2 linked regions of the Arabidopsis thaliana genome follow. The protein of the gene in region 2 interacts with the protein of the main gene of each other region in a pairwise test. Each region holds a gene or a part of one and is shown on either strand. Other genes may lie near its edges.

Evidence for each region. The genes of interacting proteins can lie anywhere in the genome.
Region 1: the proteins of VOZ2 (region 2) and AT4G26410 interact in a two-hybrid assay, tested with the Arabidopsis thaliana proteins (one large-scale study listed by BioGRID).

The regions. Positions count from the first base shown.
Region 1 is NC_003075.7:13,344,897-13,350,399, forward strand, and holds AT4G26410 (chromosome-associated kinesin), read left to right. Parts: upstream 1-1,757; 5' UTR 1,758-1,863; coding exon 1,864-2,106; intron 2,107-2,598; coding exon 2,599-2,665; intron 2,666-2,881; coding exon 2,882-2,959; intron 2,960-3,091; coding exon 3,092-3,144; intron 3,145-3,256; coding exon 3,257-3,393; intron 3,394-3,480; coding exon 3,481-3,545; intron 3,546-3,660; coding exon 3,661-3,719; intron 3,720-3,805; coding exon 3,806-3,895; 3' UTR 3,896-4,241; downstream 4,242-5,503. Other genes in the region: AT4G26400 (RING/U-box superfamily protein), read right to left, coding at 57-1,127; AT4G26415 (uncharacterized protein), read right to left, coding at 4,242-4,731, 5,123-5,496.
Region 2 is NC_003071.7:17,652,981-17,658,807, reverse strand, and holds VOZ2 (vascular plant one zinc finger protein 2), read left to right. Parts: upstream 1-1,944; 5' UTR 1,945-2,124; intron 2,125-2,366; 5' UTR 2,367-2,421; intron 2,422-2,514; 5' UTR 2,515-2,526; coding exon 2,527-2,730; intron 2,731-2,846; coding exon 2,847-3,050; intron 3,051-3,237; coding exon 3,238-3,766; intron 3,767-3,902; coding exon 3,903-4,318; 3' UTR 4,319-4,638; downstream 4,639-5,827. Other genes in the region: ZFP11 (zinc finger protein 11), read right to left, coding at 14-718, 923-940; AT2G42395 (uncharacterized protein), read left to right, coding at 4,828-4,905, 5,006-5,242.

The DNA.
Region 1 (5,503 bases), on a different chromosome or scaffold from region 2:
TATTCAACAATCTGAGTGAACAAGATTTTATGTACTATAAGCTGAGGAATAGCAGTTTACGAGTTCTCACCGAGATGAGATGACCCCGAGGCCGATGCGGATGACGAAGAGGATGAAGAGAATAATCCGCTGAACGGCCATGGAAAAGAGAACCTTCTCTCGCTCACATTACTGTTCCTTGCATCATCTTCCACATTCTCATTACTTACGTTGATCTCTAGAGTTCTTGTTCTCGGTCTTACAGGATTAACCTTGGTCTCATCATCAGGAGGGAGTTCATATCGGCACACGGGACATGAACTGTGAAGCTCGAGCCACGGTACTATACACCGGATGTGAAACTTGTGCTTACACGGCATCTCTTTAGCTTCACTTCCTTTGTCAAAATCATCCAAACAAATCGAGCACTGCAATGATTCACTTATCTTAACCGTTGGGAGATTATCCACAACTTCTTTACGTGCTGGAAGACTCCCGTGCCTGATTGAATCATTATCAGCTAGATGTTCAAGCAAATGGTCTAAACTGGATCCAACAAAGTAATCTCCAATTGCAGAAAGAGAAGTATTGTTCCGGTTTTGATTCAAACTCGTTGAACCCTGAACAACAGCTGATTGATTTAACAGGTCTCGATCCGAGCTCTCATACTCAGAAGCAATCCCTGCACGAATACCCTGAAGCAACTGCAATATAGTAGCTGAGCTTCTCCGTCTCCTCCTAAGGATAGACTCAAACTCTCTGTCTAAATCAATCTCTCTACCTTGTTGCCTGTGGCGATGACGACGATGATGATGTCGATCAATATCGACGCTGTCATTTCCATCAACATCATCAGATACATTGACCTCATCATTATCCACACCAAACTCTGTCCTCCTAAACCTTCTACGTCTACGAGGATTACTCATCATTCCAAGCAAGATTGGACCCCATAGAGACAATGCACGGTCTGTACCAAAATCAATCTCAGGGTCTTGAACCTCCCTTAGACTGCTACTGCTGCCGCCATTAATCTCACGGCTCATTTCCTCGACAAACCCGCTTTGGCAAAAGGGGCATTTGATCTCGGCACCAATAACTGGATTCACCATTTGTGAACACATGTGACACCAATACCTAGCTGACATTGCCTCTTCCTCCTTCTTTCCTTCCCCACCCAAACCTCTCGTTTCTGAAACAACCAGAAGAACAACAAAAAAAAAAACATGAAGAAGCAAACCTATAAAGTTTCGACCTTTGTTTCATCAGATCTAAATAAAGAGAATGGTATTCCCAAAAGTTTCACTAAAAAGAGGATAATATCATCTTCACCAACATCATTAGCTCAAGTTTCAGACAACAAAACGCAAGCTTTCTATGCAAATGCGAATAAACAGATCAACCAAAATTTGCCTCTATAAAGAGATAACAATAGAAATCAGGGCTAATCCATGAAAAGAAAACTCTCAATTCTCATGGAGTAATTAAAACAAAACAAATACAAAAACAAACCTTGTAAATGTTCTTACTTTTGGAGATCCAGAGGGAAGAAATGTCTTCCTCCTTCTTTTAGATCTCCACGAAGATAAATGAGAGCTTTTTTATTTGTCTTCTTCTGCAGAAATGGTGGGAGACGAAGAAAAGAGGAATGAAGGAGGAAAGGAAGACGAAGATGAAGACGAAGAAAAGGGAATGTAATGTATAGTTCGCAGACCCAATCTTAAAGCCCATTAACCGCAAACTGATATATAAAGGAGCCGGGTCTATCTTAACCATTTAAAACCAACTTCTAATTTGGAATCAAATTGAACCGAATCGAACCGGTTGAAGTTGAAAGAAGGAGAAAAGGCGTTGTCTCCGTGCGAGAAAGGCAAATCGGAGACGATGAGCGAAACCGAAGCAACCGGCGTTACCGATGATTCGGCTCCAGCGATTGAGACTGAAACTGTTTCTGATGCGATGGAGCATACAGCGATCGGAGTGGTTGAATCGGTGGAAGGAGCCATAGAAGGAGCAGAGAAATGGGTGGGTGATTTGCAACGGACGGTGAAGGAATCGAAGGATACCGCAATGCGTTCTGCTCGTTCCCTCCGTGAAAATTCTACCTCTCAGTTCCGCTCTATACAGGTTAGTTAATCTCTCTTTTGTTCACCAAACAATTTTTGCGAATCGAGATTGTTTACCAAAAAACATTTTCAGGATTTCAAACCATGGATATGGTGGAATTTAGTATCTCGTAAGCTATAATTTCTAGAAATGAGCTCGATTCAGAACAGATATTTCTCCAATTAGCAGTTTTATGTATTGAATGGTGCTAGTTTTTGTTCATATGGGTAAAATCTTGTTGAATCATACCATTATAACTTATTGGCAATGATCTTAGTCTCTTCCTGGGTTCTGATTCTGCTTCAAATGGTTGTTTAGAAGACTGTAATGTATCGCTGAGGCATTCTTGATTATTCTCTAAACAATGTTTTTATATGATATCAGATATTCATGTAGCTTAATGATGTGTGATATGGAGTAGACCCTATCTGGCTGAAATCACAGTTCCATTAGATGTATGTATATGTCTTCGTCTTCTCTCATACAATCTTACATTTGATTCTGAAATTGCAGGATTTCATTCCACATGCTTTGACTCAGTATAAGACCTATGAGAATGCTTTCTTCAGTAAAGTTACAGGTATCTTGCAGCCAATTTTCGTGAAAAAGTTATACTGGTAGACTACTGTAATGCTTAGGAACGAGTATTTTAGATCAAACTGAGATATAACAGATAGCTGCCACAAAACTTTTATATATACTTGTAGTGCATCTTATAGTGTTCTGAAACTAGAATCTTCATGTCATTCCGATTAATCAATCCTCGTATCCTCTGCTGCTTTTGTTATCCTCGCAGACGAATTGATATACGCAAAAGAGCATCCGGCTGCTGCTATTGGGATTGGTGTCGCTGCTAGTCTCGTTCTGATGCGAGGTATAACCTCTACTCTCTTATCACTTTTACAACTTACAAGATTCCTTCCCGTAGGAGCATCCAAATGGTATTACATCTGTTTTACTTATATGTGTCTTGTATGAATTTGGTTTTCTATTGTTCGACTTACAGGCCCAAGAAGATTCTTGTTTCGTAATACACTAGGCCGATTTCAGAGCGAAGAGGTATATACTATACCAGCTTCAAATTTATTTCTTAACGTTGTTATGCTTAGTTGCCCTGGTCTGTGTCCCTTCCCTTATTTTTACATCCACTTCAAAATCATCGTCGCTTCAGGCACAATTCTTGAAAGCTGAGAAGCATGTTCAGGAGTTAAACATGTCTGTAGACTTGATGAAAAAGGAGAGCAGGAAATTGCTTGAGAGGACGGCTTTAGCAGAGAAGGATATGAAACGTGGTCTCTCTGAGCTCATGTATGCCCCAACATGGACGCTCCCACTTCTTTTATTAAGTTATTGACATCATTTATGTTAATATGGGTACTACTGTTATATCTATAGGAACTCTGGAAACGATATACATCGTCTTGCTAAGTCCGTCCACAAAGCTGAATGTGAAGCTGCTGGTAATCTTGAACAAGATTTATTTTTACTCACTTCTCCCTTCTCCCTTCAAATGGTATCTTTGATAATGCCACTACGTCAGATTTCAACTTACACAAAGAGTTCTATTCGCTGCAGATTTGATGGACGGACTTCGGCAAATTCCTGGAAGGGATGCTATCAAGCTTAGAGCTGAAGTGAGTCTGACTTTTTTCTTCTCGCCCATTGTTTGAGCTTCATTGCTATGAACGTCTCATTAAATTCTTTTGTCGTAAATCATTAGGTGGCTTCCATGACTTCGCTTTTGAGACAGAAGAGGATTGCATTGAACAAAAGGATCATGGGTATGTCGGACCTAGGAGTTTCCGTCTGATATATCCAACACAAATCCACAATTTCTTGGGTTTTCGCAACCAAAGTTTGTTAGGTATTTTCCAATTGAATCGCAGTGTACTCTCGTCCATCGAACATCCAACTCTGTCTGAAACCAAAATCTGAGCTTGAGACAGAACTTGTATACTGTGTTTTTGCCTGCTTCCTAAGATTTCTCGCTCAGAGAGAATTAATTGAGTCACAAAAATGTGTGTGCTTGGTTTGGAAATCCTTAATTATGTAGTCTAGAAGATTTATGAGAAACATAGAAAGTTACTGAATCAATCAGTAATGAAAATTTATAGATAACATGAAGGTTTTTAATGGGCTAGTTTTGCATCGTAAGTCTATGGGAGACGGGCTGTGGGCCATCCACCCATGCGACTAGGCGACCCAACTGCTCCGATTGGTCTAGTAATGTTAAACCCTCCAGACGAGCAAGAAGCTTCAGTCGTCGGACCGGTCCGACCATTAACGTCCAGAGTCCGTTCTCTCCTCCTTAGACGCTCCCTCTTGAGCAGAGTCCCTAACTTATCTTTTCCCGATTTTCCCTTGTCCGGAACAGGTATCATCTCCAGACCCATCAGCTTTGCAACAACCCCCGTCTTGCACCATACCACACTCTCTCCGGCCACTGTCCGTGGCAGGCGTTTTGTCTCCAAGCTCATCTGGCTCGATCTCTTTGATGTCCGTTGATCCCCGCAGTGGGATCTCCGCCCACCCTGTATCGTCATGTCAGCACTGGTGCCAAGATGGCGCCGGAAGGATGACCGGTACATAGCGTCCTTACCGTCCAGTGAGAAACGTGGGTACTGATTCAACGCGTTCCTTGCTGACCTTAACGGCAGACAAACAGAAGTTGATATTAGTATTGATCATAGTATCATACACAATAAAATTATTTCTGTTTCTTCCGGTAATTCCTTAAATATCACTACAGATTTCACCAGTATACGAAATCTAGAAAATTCAAAAAAAAAAAAAAAAAAAAACACTTTAAAATGTAGTCATATAACTTGTTTCGTACATTCAAATCTACACCGGTGAATATCATATTATCAATCATGAAACCAACGTTATTTCTCCTCTTGAATACGTTATATTCATTATTCAATATTCATCTTAATTACTAACGTGGCATGTCAAAAAAAGTTAACTATATGTAAGAGCTCATGAGTCCCTAATGAGAATATTTACTTAAGTACATATAAAAATAAGCATGACGCACCTCAAAATATCGGAACTGTTAACGCATGACATCCGGGCGGGCTGATGATATAACTTATCATCATCAACATCATTATGGTCATCACAATTATCGTAAGTACCGTAGTAAGATTCACGGAGTCTCGCTCTTCGAACAATATCTTCTTCAACCTCTAGCTGAAGTATCATCTCCTCTAGAGTTCTCGGAGATCCTCCACCGAAAGGAGTGTTTTCAGGTGTAACAGAAGGCCCCACATCGTTCTTTTGATGTTGGTTTAGTGTCAAAGTTGAGCCATCACCACCACAAGAGCTAGCAAAGCCGCTACGTGGACCTCGTCCTCGCATTCTCGAGGCGAGGGAGTATTTTTTGAGGAAGAAGAAAGAAAGATCTTTCATTGTCTTG
Region 2 (5,827 bases):
TAATCAAAAGAATTTAGAGGTAGCCTAGTCGAAGCTCCAAATCAAGAACTTGGTTGGGATTCCTCAAACTCATCCCAAGCTCCAACCCCATGACTTGATCATCTTTCTTATTCATCAGATCCCCACGGCTTATCTCACATCTTACTGAATGACATGCATCGATGGCACTTTTCTTGATCTCTCTGCTACATACATTGCTCTTGTTCTTCTCTCTGTCCATCATCAAACCTCCATAGCTAGTAGTACTGTCCAAAAGATCAAACCGGGCAGAAGGAAAAGGAGTGGTTTTGGATCTCTGGTTGGTTAGGGAAGGCTCAAGATGAGCTGTTGTTGTTGAAGAGGAAGAAGAAGAGCTAAAATTAGGGTTAGGGTTTGCAATAGGTGTGTGGTGGTGAGGTTCGAAGAGCCAAGAAGGGATCTGCCTGAGTTTTGCTCTGTCTCTTCTATGAACATTCATGTGGCCTCCAAGTGCTTGAGCAGATCTGAACTCTCTCCTGCAGAAGCTGCAAGTGTAATTCTTGGGAGGCCATGGGATCAGCCCAGCTTCGTAATTCTTGTAGTGATTCATGATGACTCTGTTGTCACCATTACCGTCTTCTCCTTCTTCTTCTTGGGTTTTGTCTCTGTTACTAAAACTTGCCAAATGTGTTCTCTTCATATTTTCCAACAGATGATGATCAATGCTGGTGGTGAATGATGAAGATAGTATGATACTCCCCTGCATGAAATAAACTAAGATGTTATGTATGTATATATTAATTCAAAAGTGAGAAAGAATAAGAGTGGGGGATGATGAAAACCGTATAGATAGAGATTTTTGAGTTTGATGAGGAACTAAGGAAGAATGTAACTACGGAGGAGTTACTATGTGTTATATAGAGTCAAAAGGGAAACAAAAACAGAAGGTGGTTTTTATCCTTACTTGAGGAAGGAGGTGCATGTACGGATGATCATTTATTAGGGTTTAAGTCTGTTACATGTTTGGTCAGATATATTGGAGAATAATGAGTATAGGCTAGGCTATGTTCGATTAGATATCATGAGTGGAAATTATTTAAAAAAATAAAATAAAAAGAGAGAAAGAAAGAGACAAAGAGGTAGTTTCATGATTAAGAGGGAGAGAAAGAGGAATTGAATAGAGGCTACTTAACTCATGATGCTCATATGCCTGCAATGTGTCTGCTTGTTACTATAATTGGAAGTTACTTGAGACCAATGTTATTGTGGTATGGGAACTCTGTGTTGCATTAATATTTTGTGTCAAAATCTTGCAGGGAGATAACTTGCCATTTCATTTTCATCATATTCCATCTCTGGCTCCACAAATCTCTTCATTATATATATTTGAACATCTATTATATACACACAAGATAGCCTAAAAATATGAACATGTGTTTAGTTTTTTGATATGGAGAGATTGTAGTGAATAGTGATGGAGGGCCAAAAGAAACCAAAACTATTACTAATTGATTTTGACATTGATTAGAAGAAACTGTAAAGGAAAGAAACAAGGCTTGTGTATGCATTAAGGACATAGACAATGACGTCCCTGATGTCTTCAGAGTTATTGCAGCTTATATCCATAACTAAGAAAACTTACATATTACTTTAAAACTAAGTAATAAACCAGTAACGCTAACAATCGTATGCCACATCTAGACAAGTGTAAACAAAATTGGTGGATATAGAATTATAACCCTATCAGCATATCAACTTTATGGGTTGAGGAACTCAATTTCGGTTGTCAAATATATATTGTGTGACAAATTTTAACTTATCAAATTTTATTCTCATTCCTTAATCAAGCATTAAAGTTTTCTCAATTGACCAATCTCTAAGAATTGAAAAAATAATCTTCATCTAGTTAATGCATATCTATTGAATTTGGAAAATTTAAAAGTTTTTTTTTATTAATTTTGTTTTTGGGAAAATCATAAAAGACACCCTCCCCTCAATAGAAGATGAAACGCGGCGTTTCATAAATAAAAACGAGAAAATCAAAATCGTCGCTCTCTGTTTGCTGGCGTAACTTAGCCTTGTTCTTCTTCTTCATCGCGATATCTCCGGTGTCTTCTTCGTCTCCATCAGAAGAAGAAGCTCTCTGTATCCATCCATATCGAAAAAGTATGAACTTTATCCGAATTTCTTCTCAATTTTATGGATTTATTAGTCAGACTCATGTTAGGGTTTTGTTCGATTTCATGAATTTAGGGTTGAAATTTTGCTTGTTTGTATAGACTCTAATGGAACTGATGGTTTGTTTTAGGATTGGGTTGATCTAAAAAAATGCTTTTTTGCTTTGTTGTTGTCGTGAATTCTGCTCAATACCTTCCATTAAGTAATCAGTTTTGGTTTGTGATGAATAGCCAGAGATCGGAGGAAGGAGAGAGAGATACCAATCTCTGTTGCTTTGGTTTTAAGGTAATGTGTTTGTTTCCTTCCTCATGAGAATCGGAATATTAAGGTATTTTGTGGTTAAGATTTTAGTTGATTTTTGAGAATGGTTTTGGTCAGGGTTTAGAGGAGATGTCAAACCACCCGAAGATCACATCGGCGCATCAGAATGTGGAGGAGAAGCTAAGGGAACTTCAGGAGAGGTTCTGTCATCTTCAAGCTGCTAGGAAAGAAGGGCGGCATGGTGACCTTGCGCTTTTAGAAGCCCAAATCTCTCAGAATATTCGGGAGTGGCAAGCTGAACTCACTGCTCCTTCTCCTGAATCTTCTCTGTTGGTTCGTCCTACTCCATTACCATACTTCTCTATGGTTTATGGTTCCAATTCTTTGAAAAATAGTGAATCTGTAAGCTTGGTTGAGATTTAGCTCTTTTGGTCTTTAACATGTTGCAGGGTGAAGGTATTAGCCAATTCCTTGAGGAGTTTGCTCCTCTGTTGAAATTAGACGAGGAGGATGATGCAACTAGTACGCTAAAAGAACATGCTGGAGCAAAGCCTGATCCTGAGGGTTTTTCTCAAAGCTTGTGCCCTCCTGAATGGACATCTGAGAATTTTAGTCAAAGTCCTTTCAACGGAAATTTCTCCTGCGGCTTTGAGGTGAGCTAGATACAGTTTCTGCGTCAAAATTGTCTTCTATAATCTTTTGATTGTTGGTTAGATGTTCCTAGACATTTGAACACCGTTGATTCTTTATTCCAGTTCAGCTATGAGTTTTGATCTTTTTCATTCTTGTCTTAGTTTTGATTTTGTTTCCTTATGTACAAGTTCACCTTTTCTATCTCAGGATGCTCTTAATAGCACAGAAACACATGGCCAGCAACTCCATTATGGATATGAAGGGTTTGATCCAAGCATAAACTCCGCTCCTGATTTCCATGACCAAAAACTCAGCAGCAACTTGGATATAACTTCTCAGTATGATTATATTTTCTCCGAAGTGCGTCAGGAACTAGATAACAGCCCTTCCACTAAGCTTGATTCTTCTGAAGAGATTGACAACTTTGCTGAATTTTCTACTCCATCAAGTGTCCGTGTGCCTCCATCTGCTTTTCTGGGACCTAAGTGTGCACTATGGGATTGCACAAGGCCTGCTCAGGGCTCCGAGTGGTACCTGGATTACTGCAGTAACTACCATGGGACTCTAGCTCTGAATGAAGATTCGCCTGGCACAGCACCTGTATTGAGGCCAGGGGGCATCAGTTTGAAAGATAATCTATTGATTGATGCTCTTCGTGCAAAGACTCAGGGTAAGAATGTTGGGATCCCAGTGTGTGAAGGAGCTGTTAACACAAAATGCCCATGGAACGCAGCAGGTGAGAGCATTGTCCCACTAGAGCCCAGTTTTGCTTCTCTCTTTGTTTTAGTTCAACATTTCGTTGCCTCTTTGAAAACAGAAGCCTTATGTGAGTTTCTTACTTTTGCCTGACCCTTAATTTTTTGTACTTGCAGAGCTATTTCATCTTGAACTGGTTGAAGGCGAAACAATTAGAGAGTGGCTCTTCTTTGACAAACCTAGAAGAGCATATGATAGCGGAAACCGAAAGCAAAGATCACTTCCAGATTACAGTGGAAGAGGTTGGCATGAATCAAGAAAACAACTGATGAAGGAACAAGAAGGCCAGAAGAGATCTTACTATATGGATCCACAACCTCCAGGTCCCTTTGAGTGGCATCTCTTTGAATACCAAATCAATGAATCTGACGCATGTGCGTTATATCGCCTAGAACTTAAAGTAGGAAATGGAAAGAAGAGTCCTAAGGGAAAGATTTCAAAAGACCCTCTGGCTGATCTGCAGAAGAAGATGGGACAGTTTAAAGTGGCTTCAGACAAACCCTCTCCTCCAACCAAAGGTCGTAAGGAGTGAAGTTAGCTATTGGTAATCTAACTCAAGACTCCTGCAACAATAGCTCCAAGTTGTCTCCAGCATTCTACAAAAGAGCCATCGCCACCTCTGTTTTCTTTTTTTTTTTCTTTCTGACTGTATTATGAAGAGATAGGATCTTTGATGTGTTGTGTTAATATGGACAAGTCTGGTCTTTGCCCTTTTTCTTGATAGAATCGTAGATGGGTTTGTAAATTTTTGCATTTTATTTTTCTCCTTTAAAACCACAAGGATTTTGTTAACGAAGTGGTGTATTCATATTTCAAAGGTACATTTGCAACACCATTGATTCTTTATTCCAATTCTTATCTACGTGTGTGTGTGAATGAAACTTGAAACCAATACAAGTCACTAATGCTCTCAGATTATGTAATTGGGCTTTACTGGGCCGTTTATAAAATTGGGCTAGAAAAAGGGAGACAGCAGACGACAAGAGCATCCTTGTTCTCTTTAAACCCTAAATTACAAGCAAATCACCAACAGAGAGAGTAATGGCGAAAAATTCTGGTAGCTCGTTTGAAGCAGAGAAATCAGAGGGAAAGTGTGTTACGACGACTACTGAAGCACAAGTAATTCAAAATTCTGGCTGATGAATTATGTATTTGATTTTACGTATTTGTAATTCACTAATTCTCACTGATTCATACAATTTGTGTCGTAAATGAACAGCAAAGTAGTCAACCTGTTTTGAGCAAGGAAGAGGAGAAAGTGAGAGATAGCTACTTGTTCTGCTGTGAAAATTTCTACACTCTTCCTGAGATGATCAATTTCATGAAGGAGATTCATGGTGTAGAACAAACCACTGTGACAAAGGTTTTCAGGGAACTTTTAAAAGGTAGAAAAGCTGAAGCATATCTCAGAGAATCTCAGAAAAGAATGAAGGCAAGAACAACAACAACAACTTGAACAGAGGAGGATGAGGCTTAGGTTGCTCTAATTTGAAATTCTTTGGTTTGGTTTACTGGTTAGTAAGAAATAGACTTGTATTGTCACATTTTTTTATCATATTTTGAGGTCCATTGCTTTGGGTGTATGGACCAGACTAGGACAAATGAATAGGAGATGCAAAAGGGTAATAATGGAGAAGTCAGTCTTGTTGGTCTATTCTTGTCCGAGTCCATGATTTTTAGAGGGAGAACTAGAAGGAGGAACTAAAAGTTGTTTAGGTTAATGGTTTAGGTGCTAAGTGTTGGCTCTGTGTGTTACTTATGACTCGTGGGATCTAATGTCTTGTGAAAAATCACTTGTGAGATAAAATGGACATAGTCTAGAGAAGAAGGTATATAAGAAGAAAAGCAGTCAACTTAACTACAAAATCACAACGGCTCACAACTGTTTTATGTTGTAGAAGTTGGTTGCTTCTTAGAGTGGTTCATTCTTCATTACCAGCTAACCGCAAATAACCGTGACTTGAAGTCTTTCGAATTACACTTCTTTCACTCGTGGTTCAAACTTCTTCTGTTCAAGTTGTTATGCCTTCTCCAGCCATTA